Caenorhabditis elegans: one gene and its partners. The protein of the gene in region 3 purifies or fractionates together with the protein of the main gene of each other region. This does not show direct contact. Each region holds a gene or a part of one and is shown on either strand. Other genes may lie near its edges.

Region 1 (5,565 bases), on a different chromosome or scaffold from region 3:
AGAAAAATTTTGGAATTTTGGTAGAATTCTTATCGGGTGCGGTAGATAATTTTTTTTTAATTATTATGGGTACGTTTCTGGGTCTAGATATTCGATTTTGGCCGCGCTAGAGGGGTTTTGGTTTCCAATTCATTTTTTACAGGCATATGACTGTAGCGTTGCCAAAATCGAATTTCTAGACCCAGAAACGTACCCATAGTATTAAAAAAAATTATCTACCGCACCCGATAAGAATTCTACCAAAATTCCAAAAAAAATTTTTTGCAAAAAACTGTTAATTCAGGTGAGCAAATTAAAATGCCTTCTCAAAAATAAATTTTCGAACTGCATTAATTTTGAGCCTCTACGACAAAAACTCCAAACTGAGAAACAAAAATAAAAATATATCCAGAGCTTGGCCCTTTCTAATTGTCTGGAAAATTGAAAAAAAAAGCATAAAAGTTTTTGAAAAACGCCATAAATTTTTGAAGATTTTTTTCTCATATATAGGGCAAAAAATTCACAAAAGCTACTCCCGTAAGTTGCTTTTTAAAATAATATCCATTTATTTGTCAACATAGATTCGAAAAAAAAAACATTTGCATTTTTAAAGCAATCAGTTCATTCCCTTCTCAATCGCGTTGATCCAGACTTTGTCGGCCTTTCTCTTTTCGAGATACGCGTTCAAATTCGGTCTCTTCCACATTCTTTCCCAGAACGACTTCAGAGTTGGGAATTTGTCTAGGATATTCGCATCCAAAACGTGGTAGACGTCCAACTCCTCGAAGAGAATATAGTCCGCATAACTAATCTTGTTTCCAATGATGAAGTCTCCGGAATGAGCTTTGAAAAGCTCTTCCAACTTCACTAGAGCCTCCGGGATGGTTTTGTTGACACAATCCTCGCGGGTTCCCTCGTCGTAGTAAATGTAACGGACGTATTTCATACGAACATCGCGGACTCCCTCGAAGAACATGTCGAGGAAGGTTGCCTCTTGCTCGTTGGATCCGTTCAAGCCTGAAATTTTTAATTACATAAAATAGATCTGTGACGTCATAATACACTATATATATCAGGTTGTCCCATAAGTTTTTGTACTTTTTTTCAAATATTTTTCCAAAACTTCTAGAAAGTTTAAAAATTTTTTCATCGTAGGTCGTGTCAAGGTCGGGTCTTCCCCTTTCAGAAAAAATTCATTTCATCCATTTCTACTTTGCCACGATGACAATCATCAAACTTGAACGTCGAGACGTTAGATTGCTTCTTCTTTATGAATTTCGTCTTGGTCATTCAGCAATGGAAGCGGAACGAAACATATGCGGTGCGATGGGTGAGGGAGCACTCTCTTATAATACAGCAAAGAGTTGGTTTCAAAAGTTCAAGAACGGCGACTTCAGTCTCGAAGAAATAGAACGTTCTGGGCGACCGGTAGAGTTAAATGAAGAAGACCTAGTGAAGCTGGTGGAGGAAGAGCCTCGTCTTAGTCTTCGTGAAATGGAAGAGAAGCTTGAGTGTTGTCATAGCACAATTGCACGTCACTTGGGTCGCCTTGGTTTTACTTCAAAACTTGGAATTTGGGTGCCTCATGAACTTTCGGCATCACAGAAGCTCACTCGGGTCAACGTTTGTACTCAACTTCTAACTTTTCGTCGAAAGTTCGATTGGCTGAACAATCTGGTTACTGGAGATGAGAAGTGGGTGCTCTATGTTAACCATTCCAGAAAACGTCAATGGCTTCCGATCGGTGAGAAAGGAATACCGACGCCAAAGCCTGATCTTCACCCAAAAAAGATTATGATCTGTGTCTGGTGGGGTGTTCAAGGACCCGTGCACTGGGAATTGTTGCCAACTAATAAAACTATCACTGCTGATTACTATTGTGCCCAATTGGACCGAGTTGCAGAAAAGACCAACGGAAAATATGAAAAACTATATTTTCTTCACGATAATGCTAGGCCTCATGTCGCCAAGAAGACTTTCCAGAAGCTGCAAGATCTTGGTTGGACTGTTTTACCGCATCCACCATATTCTCCAGATCTTGCACCAACCGACTACCATTTGTTCTTGTCTCTCAGTGACTACATGCGCGACAAGCAATTCGACGACGAAGAGCATCTCAAAACTGAACTCTCCACTTTCTTCTCATCGCGTTCGCCGGATTTCTTCTCCCGTGGCATCATGATGTTACCTAGTAAATGGCAACAAGTGGTGGACACTAATGGTGAATACTTGTGTGAATAGTACTACTTGTCGCTTGAGAGAAATAAATTTTTTTCAAAAAAAAAATAGTACAAAAACTTATGGGACAACCTGATATATATATGATATAAATAGAAAAATTTTAATTTCCCGCCCAAATTTTTATCAGAAAATTGTAATTTCCGACCAAAATTATTTTCTGAATCAACTAAAATTTCTCGCCAATGTTTTCAATGAGATTATTTGAAGTTCCCGCCAAAATCTTTCTCAAAAATTTGAATTTCTTGTCGCAAAGTTTTTTTTTTTTGGAAAAATTGAAATTACGAAAAAAAAAAATTAAAGAAAAATGTATTTTTCCGCTTAAAGTTTTTTTCAGAACATTTGAATTGACTGAAGAAAATCTTCCTCAAATATTTGGATTCCGCGCTAAAATTTTTCAGAGATAATCCCGCCAAAATTGTATTTTTTCTGAAAGAATTGAAATTTTTCGCCAAATGTTTTCCCGATAAACTGGAATTTTTTTTCTAAAAAACATAAAATTTTTGCCAAATGTTTATCTCAGAAAATTTGAATTTCCCGCAAAATTATTTTTTTTCTGACTATGAGATAAGTTGAATTTCTAGCCTAATTTTTTGCATAAAATTTGAGTTCCCCGCCAGAAATTGTTTGTACTAAAAATTTGAATATCCCGCTAAATTGTTTTTTTTCCGTAAATATTGAATTTCCCGCCAAAATTGATCCTTATAAAATTTGAAATGTTTTCTGAAAAAAATTGAAATTTTCGCCAAATATTTTTCTCAGAATAATTGAATTTCCCTCAAAAATTTGACCTGAAAATTTTTCTAACTTCCCGCCAAAAATACTTCCTGTTGTGAAAATTTGAATTTCCCACTAAATGTTTTCCGAAAAAATTGAAATTTCCCCCAAAATATTATCAGAGAAAATTTGAATATCCCGCCAACAATCTTTCCTGAAAAAATTCGAATTTCCCGCCAAATCTCCTTACCATGAACTCTTCCCAAATGACGCATAATTGCTCCAGTCTGCACAATCTCTTGCCCGTCCACCTTCAAGCATGGCAACTGACCAAGGAGCATTCCTTTTTTAAACTCTTGCCATTCATTCCCCTCGTAGTCGAACCGAATGTCTTCGAATTTGATACCATTGTCGAGGAACAGAAGACGGATGTATTCTCCGAATCCTGAAAAATATTGAGCTTTCCAAAAATGCAAAACTTTAAAATTTCTTACCTCGAATAGTGAAGTAGTAAAGTTGTGGCACGGCCATCGTACGAGCTCTTATCGTTTAGGTCTAATGGCCTCTACTTTTATACCAATTTGAATTGTCATCAACATAGATTAGACATGGGTAAGCATGAAGAGATTTAGAGAAAAAAACACGCGTGTTTCGACGAAACTAGACCGATCAAAGATTGAGGGAAAACAATATTTTACTTTGACAAACACAACCTGAATGGGGACACTGAGTACTAGTTTTTAATTGGTGCATTGGAACATTATTTTTGCAGCGCTATTATAGAGAAAATAGGATAGGATACCGTATATCCTCTATTAGTAAGGCGCCTCTATTAGTTTTGCATCTAAAATCACTCATCAAAAATTAGTTTTGATTGAAAAAATGAAAGATTTCTATGTCACCAGTTCTAGAAAACTCTTCCACAACCAAAAAATCTCGGCCATCAAGTACTTTCGATAAATTCGAGTGGTCCAGTGTCATTGTTATAGACAATTGAAGAAGTCGCTTCAGAGGAGTCGGAACTGGGCGAAGCCTGTTTTGGAGCCCTCGCCGCCGCCCGTTTCCTGGTCAATGCACAGATGGGCTCTTTCGACCAAATCGTCATACTTGGCACAAAATACGTTTCCCTGTCCTCTGGGCTCGCAAAGCTCTAATACTCCAAATTTTCGGATAAACCACCCTGCATATTATAAGTCGATATCACACAGATGATTTGCGTTTGGTCAGTCGCAGGTGTAATTTGAAGAACCAGACACGCAGTTTAGCACCTGCGACACATCAAACGAGAATCATATACAAACTGCAATTACAAGGAACAAGGAAGTATAAAATGAATCATTCTTCTAAATTGCAAACTATAATTATAAACTCTATATATATATGAAACAAATCGGCTTTCTTTATTTTTTTAAATTTCAAATAACTTCTAACTTCCAGAAACACTTTCTCCAAATAACTTGCTCCGTGGCTTTCTCCGGTTAAATTTCACATTTGGAAATGAGAACGTTTTCCTTAATAAAATCAATAACTCAGCCAATTGCCGCAGTACTGTCTGTTGTGGTAAATTTCATTCTGATTACCCTTGTAGTTACAAGTTCACCGCGGAAAATGGGAAGCTACAAGTATTTGCTGATATACTGCTCAGGCTTGTCAATTGCATATGCAGCATTTCATTTTGTTGCAGCACCCGTAAGTTGTCAGTGTTGAAGCGTTTTTTTTTTGAATGATTACTTTCAGTACATGTTTAATGACGACTCAACTGTAGTTATTCTTGTGGATTTGAAGAGTAATATGCTAGAGAATCATCCAGATGTCTTGAAGTTCACTGTTGGTGAGAGAACTGTCTTTTAAATTGAAATTTAAAAAGAAGCAATTTTGATTTTTTAATCATTTTTTTCAGTTTCCGGAGTGGCATTTTTTGGAACAAGTATTTACGCTATAGCAATCAACTTCATATATCGCTATTTTGCCGTTCAAAGGTACTGTATCATTAGTCAATTTTTCAAGCTTCATATACAATTAACATCACTTCTACTTTTGATAGAAAATTCTAGGAAAATCAACAAATAAACTAGGGCACGCTCTCCTCAAAATCGAATAATTATTAGAGCGCGCTTGCTACGTTTCGCGTTTCTGCATCCGCGGTGTTTTGCCGTTCCACTGAAAATTGCAGATTTTTCAGATTTATCAAATTTTGAGCTTTAATAATTTTTTCTGCATTTACGATCAAGCCTTTTGTTAAACAATGAAAATCGAATTTAAAATTACTAAAATGAAATTTTTTCGTCCACTGGTTGAGAAAAGGTTAAAAAAAAATCAACAGGATTTTTCTAATTTTCTAAATATTTTTCAATTAAACATCGGGTTTTAAACATTAATGACCCTAAACATTTGCGATCCTAGTTATAGTCAAAAATGTGTTAAAAACGATTTTCAATAGGAAAATATTTAGAAAATAAGAAAAATCCTGTTGATTTTTTTTAAATTTCAAACCATTTCTCAACCAGTGGACGAAAAAAGTTAATTTTAGTCATTTTAAATACGATTTTCACTGTTTAACAAAAGGTTTGTTCGTAAAATGCAGAAAAAATTTATTAAAGCTTAAAATTTGGTAAATCTTCAATTTTCAGT
Region 2 (7,674 bases), on a different chromosome or scaffold from region 3:
AATTTTCAAAATTCGAAATCCGCTTCGAGATATTCGAAAAATACTCGAAATTTTGAAAAAATTGGTACTGAAATTAATTTTCCGGAAATTTTTTGAAAAATCAAACAAAAAAAATTAAAAATTTCAAATTTTTTCCAGAAGTTTGAATTTTTTAATTCGAAAAAATATGGTTTTCGAATTTAAAAAATGAATATTTTCGAGATTTTTTGGAATTCTCAAATATAGGTAGGTTAAAACTTAAATTTAATCTATGAAAAGTTCGAATTAACATCGTAAATTCTACATTTTGAAAACACATAAAGAGCGAATTAAATATTTAAAATTCCAAAAAATAATTTTTTTTTTCTACAAATTCGACGATTCATTCTTCTTCTCCTCTCCACTACTACTGCCTCCAATCCACTTGAAAGTCTCAAAATGCGGATTCTCAACGACTCCATCCTTGCAAAGCTTCTTCAGCACGAGCTTCACATTGTTCAACGCAGCCAGTCGTACAGCCCACGGCGAGTCAGCATAAACCTGATTAGTCACATCCATACTGGTGATCTCCTCGTGCTCTTTGAGCACTTTGATAATCTCGCGTTCTCGTTTCATTCGGTGCTCGATGTACTCGTCAACCTTCTCCACGACCTTATCGATAACCGGACCATGACCCGGATAAATCCTTGTCGCATTGAGATCCTTGATCTTTTGCAGTGAAGTCATATAGTCATGAAGATCCTCGAAGACGGTAGTTCCCTCGCCGAGGATGCAGTCTCCACTGAACAATGCTCGTTCCTCTTGGAGCCACAGAGAGAAGTGATCGGCGGTGTGGCCTGGAGTGGCGATTAGTCTGGAAATTTAATGTTTAAAGATGGACTAGCTTAAAGGTGGTGTAGTCGAATTTTTTTTAATTTCTTTATTGGACTCAAAATTGTCTGAAAACACCGAATTTTTGTTTTTTGATCCCAGCCCTGAAACTGTGGTATTAACTGTAGTAGCATAGCTCTTTTTCAAAAAATTGAATTGCCATGAGAAATTTTTTTTTGGAAATTTCAAGATATATCAATTTAGCCTTTCTTCGAGTTATTTTAAAGGTGGTGTAGTCGAATTTTTTTTAATTTCTTTATTGGACTCAAAATTGTCTGAAAACACCGAATTTCATAATGAAACTTCTTGAAAACTTTTCAAAAAAAAGTTATGGCCTCTTGAAAAATGGCCTAAAATTAGTGAAAATTTGAAATTTGACCGACTTATCATTGTCGCAGCGGCTGGAAACAATTTTTTTTTGAAATTGTCGTCTAATTTTGGCTATACAGGTCGATTATCTTGCGTTTTCAGCTTTATTAAGGTATTTGAAAGTCGATGGACGAAGAGATTTGTCAAATTTTTTTCATCAATTCTCTTCGTCCATCGACTTTCAAATACCTTAATAAAGCTGAAAATGCAAGATAATCGACCTGTATACCCAAAATTAGACGACAATTTCAAAAAAAAATTGTTTCCAGCCGCTGCGACAATGATAAGTCGGTCAAATTTCAAATTTTCACTAATTTTAGGCCATTTTTCAAGAGGCCATAACTTTTTTTTGAAAAGTTTTCAAGAAGTTTCATTATGAAATTCGGTGTTTTCAGACAATTTTGAGTCCAATAAAGAAATTTAAAAAAATTCGACTACACCACTTTTAAAATAACTCGAAGAAAGGCTAAATTGATATATCTTGAAATTTCCAAAAAAAAATTTCTCATGGCAATTCAATTTTTTTGAAAAAGAGCTATGCTACTACAGTTAATACCACAGTTTCAGGGCTGGGATCAAAAAACAATAAGTGTTTCGTTTTGATTTTGGACCAAGAAAAATTGAAATTTGGGAAAAATCAAAAAAAAACCAACAAAAAATTTGATACTTGAATTAATTTTTTTACCGTGAAAAATGCATTTTTTTTTGGTTTTTCGGTCTTAAAAAAACAAACAAAAAAATCAATTTTTCGTTACAATGGCAAAAAAATTCAAAAAAAAATCCCAGCCTTGTACAATACCACTACAGTACCCCCTATAATAATACTATAGTGCAACTACAATATACCTACAGTACACGTACAAAATAGCTATAGTACCAGTACACTTACAGTACTACTGTACTACTGTACCCCTACAGTACTAATGCAGCACACCTTCGGAACTTCTACAGTACCTCCGTAGTACCACTACAGTACCCCTATAATACTACTACAATGTCCCTACATTACCCCTACAGTACTACTACTACTACAGTATTGCTACCATTACGGCACTACTGTACTAACACATTTTTTTGGAACAAACGTTCAAAAAATTTTGTATTCATAAATTCCTTTTTGAAAAAAAATATGGATCCTTTTTTTTTTTGAGAATTTCAACAAAAAACTGAGATTTCAAGGTATTTTTTGAGGAACATTAATTGTTAAGGTTTTTTCCTTATTATTTTCGGAGATTTTCGACAAAAATTAGGAATTTAAAAAATCGTCCCGGAAAAAAAAATAATATAGAAAATTTCAAAGGAATTTAAAATCAAAAATTCTTAAAAATAACAGATGGTAACTGAAATTGCATTTAATTTGAAATTTCAGAAAATTCCAATTTTTTCCAAATTTTCACAACAAAAAATCGATTTCTAGCAGTACCCCCTACAACACTACTCATTTAAAAAGACACAATTAATTTGTTTCTAGAAATACAGTACTACTACAGTACCCCAATATCACTACTTCAGTACCCACCCCTCCCAATATCACTACAGTACCCCTGAAGTACTCCTACAGTAACCCTATAATACTACTACAGTACAACCGAAATATACCTACAGTACCTCTACAAAACTCCTTCACTACCCATATAGTACTACTAGAGTGCCCCTACGGCACTATTACAGTACTCCTATAATATACCTACAGTAACCCTACACTATCACTATAGTACTACTAAAGGAGGACTAACGGTTCGAACGATTTTGAACGTATAGACCCAAATTGAGCTCAAATGAACGAATTTCGTAATGAAACTGCTCAAAACAATTTTCAAACATTTTTTATGGCGGTTCAAAATTTTGAAAAAATTACACTGATTTTACCTAAAATCATGAGTTTTTCCCATTTTTTCGTGTCACATCTGTCCGAAGTTGGATTTTTTGGAATTATCGTCCTTTATTGCATATATTGGCAATTAATCTCATTTAATTTCGTGGATTAAAGTACATTTAAAGCCGATAGGTAACCAATTTCGATGATTTTTGGTTACCTAACGGCTTTAAATGTACCTTAATCGACGAAATTAAATGAGATTAATTACCAATATATGTAATAAAGGACGATAATTCATTTTTTCAATTTTTTCAAAATTTTGAAACGCCATAAAAAATTTTTGAAAATTGTTTTGAGCAGTTTCATTACGAAATTCGTTCATTTGAGCTCATTTTGGGTCTATACGGTCAAAATCGTCCGAACCGTTAGTCCTCCTTAATGCTACAGTACATACCTACAGTGCACCTACAGCGGAACTACAGTATCCCTACAGTACTACTACGGTTTTTTTCTAATAAAACCAATTCTCTAATGATAAATGCTCACTTCAGCGTGGCTCCATCAACTGCAACCTCAAACCCATCGTCAACATAATGAAATCTCTCGACACCCTCATCCTTGTCCCGTTTCATTTTATAAATAGGTATCTTCTTTTTATCCAAAATCTCATCAGTAATATTATCGATTCCACCAACATGATCGCCATGCCAATGCGTAATAACGATATATTCAATGTGGGAATTCGTAGATGCGAGAACTGATTTCAGTGCCGAAATGTACTCGGTGACGTTCGGCTCACCAGTGTCCACGAGGATTTTTCTGAAAGAAAAAATTTGATTAGAAATTAAAAATTTTCAGAATATTGCTGCCTACTTTGCACCAGTGCCCAGTAGATATGTATTAGTTCCTTGAAGAGTGAAGGGGCCGGGATTGTGGCCGAGAATTCTGGTGACCGCGTCGGAGAGCTTCTCGATGGGCTCCACGTGAGTGAGGCTTGGCATGGCTCTGAAAAAAAGAATTTCGAGATTTTCAGAGAAGTTTTGAAAAAAGTGTAGTGCTTTATGCAAAATTTGTGATTTTTTTTGCAGAGTAAATTCGAAACTGCAATTGCCCGAAAATCAAAACCAGCGCTACATTAGTCAGTTAAAGAGATACTGTAGTTTTCGCAACGAGATATTTTGCGCGTCAATTATGTTGCGCAATAGATTTCAGTTTTAGTTTCGGTTATTTCGATATATTTTAAATAATTTAATTCTTTAATTCCTAAATCTAGTCATAATCTAGTCTAAATCTACTCCAATCAGTGTTGTTTTACGCAGCTAGCTGTCGATTTACGGAGACTTTTTTTTCAATTTTTGCCAACTTTTACAGGTTCTGATTGTTAATAAATGCACAATTTTTTTAAATAATACAAAACTTTACAACCAATTTGATTTAACTTTTTTTCCGGAAAAATTACTGAATTTCGAGACATTGTTTCAAATGGGAAACTATGAAGAATTAAAGAAAACCAACTGAAAAGTGATCGATAATCGTTCTGTGACTTGTTTCGTCTATCTCTCTCTCTCTTTCTAAATTTCCCTTATTTTCGGAACACTGTAGTCAGTTGGCTACACTTAAATGATGATGTTTGCCAATTTCTAGGTGTCAGCCAATGGAATTTTGCAATTTTGTGACTTGGGCGATAAGTCAGAATGTATTGATAATGCAATTGTATAGTACAATGCAATTTCTGGCAAATCGGCAAATTGCGGGAATTGAAAATTTCCGGCAAACCGGCAAATTGCCAGAATTGAAAATTTCCGGCAAAAAGGCAAATTGCCGGAATTGAAAATTTCCGGCAAATCGGCAAATTGCGGGAATTGAAATTTTCCGGCAAATCAGTATATTGCCAGAATTGAAAATTTCCGGCAAAAAGGCAAATTGCCGGAATTGAAAATTTCCGGCAAATCGGCAAATTGCGGGAATTGAAATTTTCCGGCAAATCAGTATATTGCCGGAATTGAAAATTTCCGGCAAACCGGCAAATTGCCGGAATTGAAAATTTCCGGCAAATCGGCAATTTACAATGTTTGTTAAAAATTTTTTAAAGCCCCCTAAAACTAATAAATATTCAAAAAAAAGTAGTCTTCTTAAAAAATTCAGAGAAAATTCAGAAAAAAAAATGTCTTTATTAGGGAACAAATTTTGGTATCATTGTAGGTTTACGCAGCTGGATGTCGATTTACGAGCGGAATTTTTTTTCAATTTTTCTCAGATTCATGAGAAACAATATCATACATCCTGGAAAATAGTTTTTTTTTAATCATGGCATTGTAGATTTACGCATCTCTGTGTCGATTTACGAGCACTGGTTTTTTTCAGAATTTAGGAATTAAATTATTTATTTAAAAATTGAATAATTTAAAAATATTATCAATTAACACAACAATTTCTAAAAGTCAGAAAAAACCTCGTAAATCGACACAAGCAGTCAGAATTCACCAAAAAATGAGCTCGTAAATCTACACTGGCATCCGAAATTTTGACTTGAATTTAAAAAATAACTGAACACAAGCTCGTAAATCGACACAAAAAGCCGGAATTTCTAATTTTCTACTATTCTCGTAAATCGACAGAAAACCGAAATTTCGAAAATTCAGGAAAAAGATCAAAAAAAAATTCGTGGAAAAATCCTGAAAAAGCTCGTACATCGACACAAAGAGGCAAAATTTACCAAAGAATTAATGAGCTAGTAAAACTACACAAAGAGCTGAAATTCCTAATTTTCTTTGTCATTCTCGTAAATCGGCACAAAACCGAAATTATGAAAATTCAAAAAAAAAATCGTCGAGAAAGCCTGGAAAAGCTCGTAAATCGACACAAAAAGCCGAAATTTTGAAAAAAAAAACTTTCGCGCCAAGACCCCGAATTACAAACCAACCTATGTGCCTTTGAATTAACCAAATAGGCAACACCGGCGTATGCGAAATCCGTATAAAAACGAAGCATCGTCCAGGCTCGTCCAACGTACGCCGTCATCGTGTTCTGAATTACGAGATACTCATCTATGTTTCCGCCCCCGCCTCTGGGTGATTCAGAAATATAGGTCATTAGGTCGTTTTAGGACCAATTTTCATGGAAAATCGATCGGATAGAGAAAAATGGATTAAAAATGGTAGAAATTTAATTAAAATTTCAAAAAAAAACATTAACAATGGTGACAGGAGAGGATTGACGATATTAAATTAAAATAGTTTTTAAAAATTGGGAGCTGAGGAAAAAAAAGAAAAAAATATTCAAAACAAAAAAAAACTAAAAACTAGGTAATGATAAAAAGTCGCTGGAAATCGATTTTTATGGAAATTTGGATAAAAATTGGAAATTTTAGGATTTTTCCGAAAAATTTCGAGAATTTTAACAAAAATAGGATTTTTTGGAGAAAAAATTCAGTTTTTTTTCCAAAATTTTGAGAATTTTTGCAAAAATCTGGGAGTTTTAATCAAAAAGTTGAAATTTTTTCTATTTTTCCAAAATTTTTGAGAATTTTCGCTAAAATCTGAAATTTTTAATTAAAATTTTTATTTTTTTCAGTTTTTTTGGGATTCTCAAAAAAATGTTCGATAAAAAAATCGAATTTTTAGAATTTTCACGATTTTTCAAAATTTTTGACTTTTTCTGTAAAATCGGGAATTTTTAATTAAAAAGTTCAAACAATTTTCTGTTTAGCTGAATTTTTTGGATAAAAAATTTAATTTTTAGAATTTCCAGGATTTACCAATTTTATCGGGAATTTCAACAAAACGCTATAATTTTAAGAAACTTTTCTATAATTTTTTTTTGAAATTCCGGAAATTTCAGTATTTTTGACTGAAAAAGTTTTTAAAAAAATTACTAAAAACTAAAATTTCTGAATTTTTCTAAATTTTCCAAAATTTTTCAACTATTCGCAAAAAAATCGATTTCCAGGCGAAAAAAAAACAAACTAAACAATTTTACAAATATAAGGGGAGTAAAATGAGAAAATGTGGCTAGACTGTAGCATTTGATAACAACAGAAACGAACAAATCGGTATTATGGGGAAAAAAAGTCAAGTGTTAGACGGTAGAAAAATGAAATTTTGAGCAAAAATGTGGGTCCCGCAACGATTTGTGAGGGGGGGGGGGGGGATACTGTAGTTTGACCTAATTCATCGTGAAAATGGTGTGCTGAATGCCGAAATTCATTTTGAAATTTGTGAGAATTTTGAGCTCCGTCTGAAGTCGTTCGATTTTCAACTGTACTGCCTGACTGTACTCGCGGCTTTCCGATTGTGAACGAATTTCGTGCTCTTTTGTGCTGAAAATAGGAAGGTAGAATTGAGAATTTAAAAAAAAAAATATTTTTGAAAAAATGTTTTCAAAAATTTCAAAAAAACATTTTTTGTTGGAATTTTTACTAATTTGAGAGAAATTCGGAATTTTTTATAAAGCTCATTTCTTCCCGCAATTTAATATTGGTTTTACCAAGAAAAGTAAGTATAAATTGCAATTTTTGAAAATTGGCGAAAAAATAATTTGTAAATTTTTTTAGAACTTCAGATTTTCCAGATTTCCTGTTCAAAATATTAAGAAATTTTTTTTCAGAATTTTAAAATTTTGAAAATTTCAACAAAAAA
Region 3 (5,981 bases):
TTTCTAGACATTTAAAACTATGCAACAAAATTTAAAGCTTCACTTTAAAGGAACATGTGTGTTTTCGGGTCTCGCCACGATCTCCGTAATTTTGATTTTTGAAATTATGCAGTTTTAGCTTTAAAATACGGTGAACGGTCTCGACACGAAATTGTTTTGTTAAACGCGAAGAGTTGTGCGCCTTTAAGCAGTACTGTAATGTCTAAATTTCGTTTTCGCAAAATTTTTATCGATTTTGAATTGTTTTTCTCAAGATTTGTTAAAATTTAAGTTTTCTTTTCATTTGAGCTTTCTAAAAAAAAAGATAAATTTAAAAATCGATGAAAACTCCGCGGAAACAATAGTTTGAAACTACAGTACCCTTTAAAGGCGCAGATCTTTTTGCATTGAACAAACATTTGTCTTGTCGAGACCTGGTACCGTATTTTAAAATCCCGCATTACTCTCCTGAAGCCTTATGTCAATGGACTCTGATCATGGAATAATTAAAGAAAAAAAGCGATCAAAGTCGAAACAAAACACAAATGTTCTTGACGGCGACGACAAAAAGACAAAAAGGCGCTAATCCTTCAATAAATTTGCTGATAAAAGTAAGAGAATCATCATTGCATTGTTGCAATGCTTCAATAACTCCAATGTTTATTTTTGGAATCAAGACGAAAATTTGTTGGAAAAAAAGGAAAAATGGGGGAGGTGAAGTATTTTGTAAGGAAAAAGAGCCATGTTAAAAAAATTCTGAAACAATACAATAGGTCATGGGGGGGGGACGTGGATAAAGGAACACGAAAATATTGTATAAGACAAGAACACTTGTAAATAGAGTGCTACTTTTTATATGTAAAATTAGCTTTTCTGTGCTTTCGCTGAAAACGCGAAGAAATCGTGGGAACAGGTGAAAAAAGTTTGATTGAGTATCTATTAAATCTTAATGTACATGGGATGGTAATTGGGTGAAATATTATGATTGTGTGCATTTATCGCGAACATGATATGGTGCAACAGGATCCATTGCAGGTGGAAGAGGACTTGGAGCATCCCGACAATTCGTTTTAACTTTTTCGATTTCGTTTTTAAGCATACGATAGTCTCCTTCAAATGTGAAACGTCTGTCATATTGATCCATGCTCTTCGTAATGTGTGGAATAGACAGTACATGGCTCAAGAAATTTGGAGCGAATTTTAAAGCACATTTGCAGAATCTGCAGTTATCCTATAAATACATTTATTAATAAAAAAATATTTTTATTTAAGAAATCACCGGTAGCTCCCATTGGTTACAAATGTTGTGAAGTTGATCGCGTTGCCGTTTCTCCAATTTCACATAATCCGTGCGGAGTATTGAAGCGAACTCGAGTGCAATTATTTCTGGAAAAATGAATAAAATTAAAAATATTACACAGATACAAAATTTTGCGATTTTTGCGCGAAAAATACGATACCCGGTCTTGACACGAAATTGTTTGTATTTACAAACGCATGTGAACCTTTAAAGAGTACTGTAATTTCAAACTTTCATTGTTTTTCGTATTACTAAATAGAAAAACTAAAATAAAACAATTGAAATCACCTAAACGAGATTTTTTCAAAGTTTTTCTCAGCAACGAAAGTTTTCAATTACAGTACTCCTTAAAGGTGCACACACATACGTCCAAATTTTACAAAAAATATAAATTTTAAATTCCCAATTTCCCAATTTCACTAACTTTTCAAACTGGTTTTCTTCTTGTCTTCATCTCCATAATAAAATGGTAGACTCCTTTTCCCAACCGTCAGCCTTTTCTCATCACTGGATCGAATATTTCCTTTTGAACGAAGAACATATTCATCATTTCGTTTTTTCGGAGGAGGTGGCTCCTGTAATAATTTTGAGAATACTGGAAAATGAATAATGATTATAAATACCGGTCCATATGGTACCATATCGGACATTTCTTGCGAATCAGTGTTTATTTCTCCCGGTTCGGGTCCCGAATTTCCAGACAAACATCTTTTTCTTGCTTCTTTTTGTTGTTCTAGTGGGCGATTCTAAATATTTTGAAATATTATTTATTAAGGGAACACTCAATTCCGAGAATGCGTGTTGCGCAACATATTATTTGACGCGCAAAATATCTCGGAGCGAAAACTACAGTAACTCTTTAAATGACTACTGTAGCGCTTGTGTCGATTTACGGAAATCATTTATTAATCGGTAAAATATTGAAAGAATACATAGAGAAAGCACGAAAAACTAAAGAAAATTGAGAAAATCAAATATGCTGCGTAATAGGCATTCTCAGAATTTAGTGCTCAAGTAATATTATTTAGTTTCCAGAAATAATTACCGTATTTCCTCTATTAGTATTGCATGCATGACTAATTTTCGAAGATCCAATAGCTTTGTAAAGTTGATCATTTATCGTCAAAAATTTGGCTTGAAACAGTCTAAATCGTGCAAAATACATGCTTTTCTATTGTTTTATCAATTACTTGAACACTTTAAAATTTATTTTAACTAAAAAATGGCGAAATTTTTGAAGTTTTTTTTTTTTTTTAATGGCGTCTAAATCTTGCTGAGCAAAAAACTGCCGTATTACACTTTGGTAAAAAGAACCCCCGTCATAAATACTTTGTAAATAGTGTTGAAATTAAACCGCGTGATTCTATCAGAGATCTCGGAATCATTGTCGATACCAAATTATCATTTGTAAATCATATTAATCAGACTTCTAATAGTGCCCTCCTTAAGTGTCGCCAAATCCTTCGCTCATTCCGCTCTAAAAGTCCCGAATTCTATTTTAAACTGTTCAATGTTTACATCCGCCCCGTACTCGAATATGGCTGCGAGCTCTTCCCGCCCAACTCCACCGAACTTGCCAAAAAACTAGAATCTCCCCTCCGGTTTTTCTCAAAGTGTGTCTTTCAAAGGTGCAATTTATCTTACTCGTCATACAGCAGCAGGCTTTCACAATTTAATTTATTGTCTACTCACCACAGACGGGTTCTTCAAATCCTCCGAACCTTCCATAAAATTATTTCAAGCGAGTATCACTTCCCGTCCTTATCATCGTTTGTTCGAGCTTCACGCTCTACTCGTCACCCCTATCTACTTGTTATCTGTGGTGTCCCGTCTAAATTTTTTTTACATGTTAACTTGTCGTTGTGGAATCGAATAGCAAAACGTTTCCCTCAATTGTTAACTCCAAATGCATTTGCGTCGCGCCTAGGCTCTATTCCATTCGACACCCTCTTCCCCTCAACTTGACCTCCCGGGCTATAGCTGGTCCAACTGGTCATTTTACTTATTTGTCCACACATCATTTTATTTACTTTTTTTTAATCTTCCGGTGTAGCTCTTTCTTGTGACAAATAAACAATTATTATTATTTTCACAAAATACTGCTGGTCTGGCAGGAATAGGGGTGCAAGACTATCACCGTATTTCCTCTATTAGTCTTGCATGCAATACTAATAGAGGCTGCAAGACTAATTTTCGATTGGTCCGTAGGGGTGCAAGACTAATAGAGGCTGCCGGACTAATAGAGGAAATACGGTAAGTATCTTTTCTGAAAAAAAACATACCGGGCGGTACAGATTGGTTCCTAGAATCCACTGCGCTTGTACTTTGTCTATCACAGTTATAACCATATTCATTTCGATTTTCATAATTTCCATTCCTGTTTCTGGCATCGGTTGGTTCCAGATCTCTCGGATTCACTTTCCTTGGTAATTTAAGTGGATCTCTATCGAGTTGTCTTTTATTAGATTTCGGTTTAATTGAGAATCCACGAAAATTAAAATCTTCGAGTTTCGTCGGAATCGGTGCTTCTTCTCCATATCTCGCTTTCATCTCACCCAATGTAGTTTCATATGTGAATAAATTCCCAATTCGTTGTCCATTGTCAGTGAATCTCATTTGATGATTGTCCGAGAAATATCCTTTCTGGTACCAATCAAGCACAGTTGAGGCTCCGTATGGTCCTCTGAAAAATGAAATTACTTAAAACTTCATAAAAGAATAGAAAACCTACTGTACTGTACCACGATCGTCAGTGTAGAACACAGTTATATCGTCGTCTATGTCTTCCATCTCCATTCTGAAATAAATATTATTATTTGAAACATAGTTATTATTCTTTGAATTCATAAAATTCAAAGAGGTTTTCTAAATTACTTCGTATAACAAAAAGCAATGGTGTCGGCTTTTTGATTTTATTTTTCGAAAGTCAAAAATATTATTTTTTTATAAACTTTTTAACTTTTTTAAAATTAACTTTTTTTTGGTTTTTGGAAGAAAAATTTGAAAATTATATGAAAAAATACGGATAAATCAAAAAATTTTCAAAGAAGAAACGAATAGTCAGATAATATTTCTGCAAGAAAAAATGTTAAAAACTGGGTCTATTGGAATGATACAATTTTATCCCCATAAGCACACAACGGCTTTAAAAAATTGCATTAAATTACCTAATTGTTCATTAAAATATAATTTCCAAAAAATGAAATCGCAGAAAATCTGAACTATTTTTTAAAAAAATTGAGATGAGTTTTCTCAGAAATCCTACAACGAATGGTAAGTACAGCATATTAGTTCTTAAAACTGGCTTCCTTCGGAAGAAAATATCAAAGATATAAAAAAGTGTAAAGTATACACTATATTCGAAATTATATAAACGATACAATTCCAAAAAAGTTTATATTATAGAAGAAAAATAAATTACTTTACAAGAAAAAGAAACGAATACATAGGAATTTCTATGACACAAGATTAATAAAAGCGAATTGAGATCCTATAAAACACGATAAAATATTATATATTAGTCAATATAGATTATTTCAGGTGAATGCACCTTTTTCGAAGAGCCTCCGTCAATTACATCTTCAATTGTTTGTTTCTGTGGAGTTGCCGAAGCCAGAAAACGCACCCAAGTTCCAACATGGACATCTTGATAACGCAAGTGGTTAATCTGAAATTATTTAGAATTATTGGAAGACGGCAGAACGGCGAAACATTCAATTAAAATTACCTTCATTCTGAGTTGAATGCTTCCCACGTGACGGCACATTTCAAAAAATGAAATAAATTTTATGTTGCAGAAAGTGCACTCATTCTGAAATAATTGAGTAAAATTACAATACTTTCGAAAGCAACATACGTGATTCTTGAATAGTTTTCCAACCCTCCTCGATAAGATATTCGCGTCAACCTTGGTCATGAGATTTTCGACGACTTGAGAGAGGAAGTTTCCGGTTCGCTTTTGCTCTGAATTAGAATTCTTGCTCCTAACTTTGTTTTTACTTGGCCTATTCGCTTTCATTGACGAATATTCAACAGCTGCCTTAATATCGATCACTGCACCAATGACGGCTTTGATCTGCTCGAGGTCTGATTTATTTAAATTATTTCCATTAACAACGGAACTTTTTTAATCGTACTCGGTTTCTTAACGAATCCCTTCGATCGATTGATGAATTCGCCGACCGTTTCCGAGAAGTTCACATTTGTATCAGGGTTGAAACCTGGTAGGATCAGAGCTGAAATCAAAAGTAAAACAAAAGAACGTAAACTGAGCTTTACCATTTGAAGGCGCCTGCTCGATTACACTGTTCACTTTATAAATCCAGAAATCGACGTCATTCTCTGAGAACAAGCAGTTCTATAACTTAAGATGTTGGATAGTGATCAGATGAGCAAACATAGCTGATCCCATCAAATCGATTCCGCACAGTTGGCAGCAAACTGTTTCTGATGTGTACGGAGGAAATTTCTTCAACGAGTCCGGAACGGTAATAATCAGCTGATAGAGAACGAATAGTTTTCCTTGAGCTTTCTCTGTAATTCACAATATCTTTTAAGTAAACGTGTTTTTCTACAAACCAGGATTAATGATTGGAAAACGGAAATCGGGTTTACGCATGAGAGGTGGTGAAGAGTAATGTTCAGGGTGGTAATTACTGAAATGATGTTTTTAAAATAAGTAACAAAAAAAGCTTCTAACTTC

Evidence for each region.
Region 1: the proteins of K11H3.8 (region 3) and gst-10 fractionate together in Caenorhabditis elegans (co-fractionation; one large-scale study listed by BioGRID). This does not show direct contact.
Region 2: the proteins of K11H3.8 (region 3) and Y53F4B.39 fractionate together in Caenorhabditis elegans (co-fractionation; one large-scale study listed by BioGRID). This does not show direct contact.

What each region holds. Positions count from the first base shown.
Region 1 is NC_003283.11:2,559,606-2,565,170, reverse strand, and holds gst-10 (Glutathione S-transferase P 10), read right to left. Parts: upstream 3,482-5,565; 5' UTR 3,466-3,481; coding exon 3,429-3,465; intron 3,380-3,428; coding exon 3,185-3,379; intron 997-3,184; coding exon 596-996; 3' UTR 526-595; downstream 1-525. Other genes in the region: str-154 (Serpentine receptor class r-10), read left to right, coding at 4,432-4,623, 4,672-4,765, 4,835-4,913. UniProt on the Caenorhabditis elegans protein: Conjugation of reduced glutathione to a wide number of exogenous and endogenous hydrophobic electrophiles. Responsible for approximately one-third of 4-hydroxy-2-nonenal conjugation.
Region 2 is NC_003280.10:15,108,536-15,116,209, reverse strand, and holds the start of Y53F4B.39 (Beta-lactamase-like protein 2 homolog), read right to left. Parts: upstream 6,067-7,674; 5' UTR 6,059-6,066; coding exon 5,961-6,058; intron 4,043-5,960; coding exon 3,911-4,042; intron 3,857-3,910; coding exon 3,584-3,856; intron 833-3,583; coding exon 346-832; 3' UTR 1-345. Other genes in the region: wshc-4 (HEPN_LA2681 domain-containing protein), read right to left, coding at 7,202-7,355.
Region 3 is NC_003281.10:9,833,289-9,839,269, reverse strand, and holds K11H3.8 (GYF domain-containing protein), read right to left. Parts: upstream 4,077-5,981; 5' UTR 4,076-4,076; coding exon 4,011-4,075; intron 3,963-4,010; coding exon 3,562-3,962; intron 2,026-3,561; coding exon of another isoform or gene 1,903-2,025; intron 1,855-1,902; coding exon of another isoform or gene 1,704-1,854; intron 1,366-1,703; coding exon 1,259-1,365; intron 1,211-1,258; coding exon 959-1,210; 3' UTR 623-958; downstream 1-622.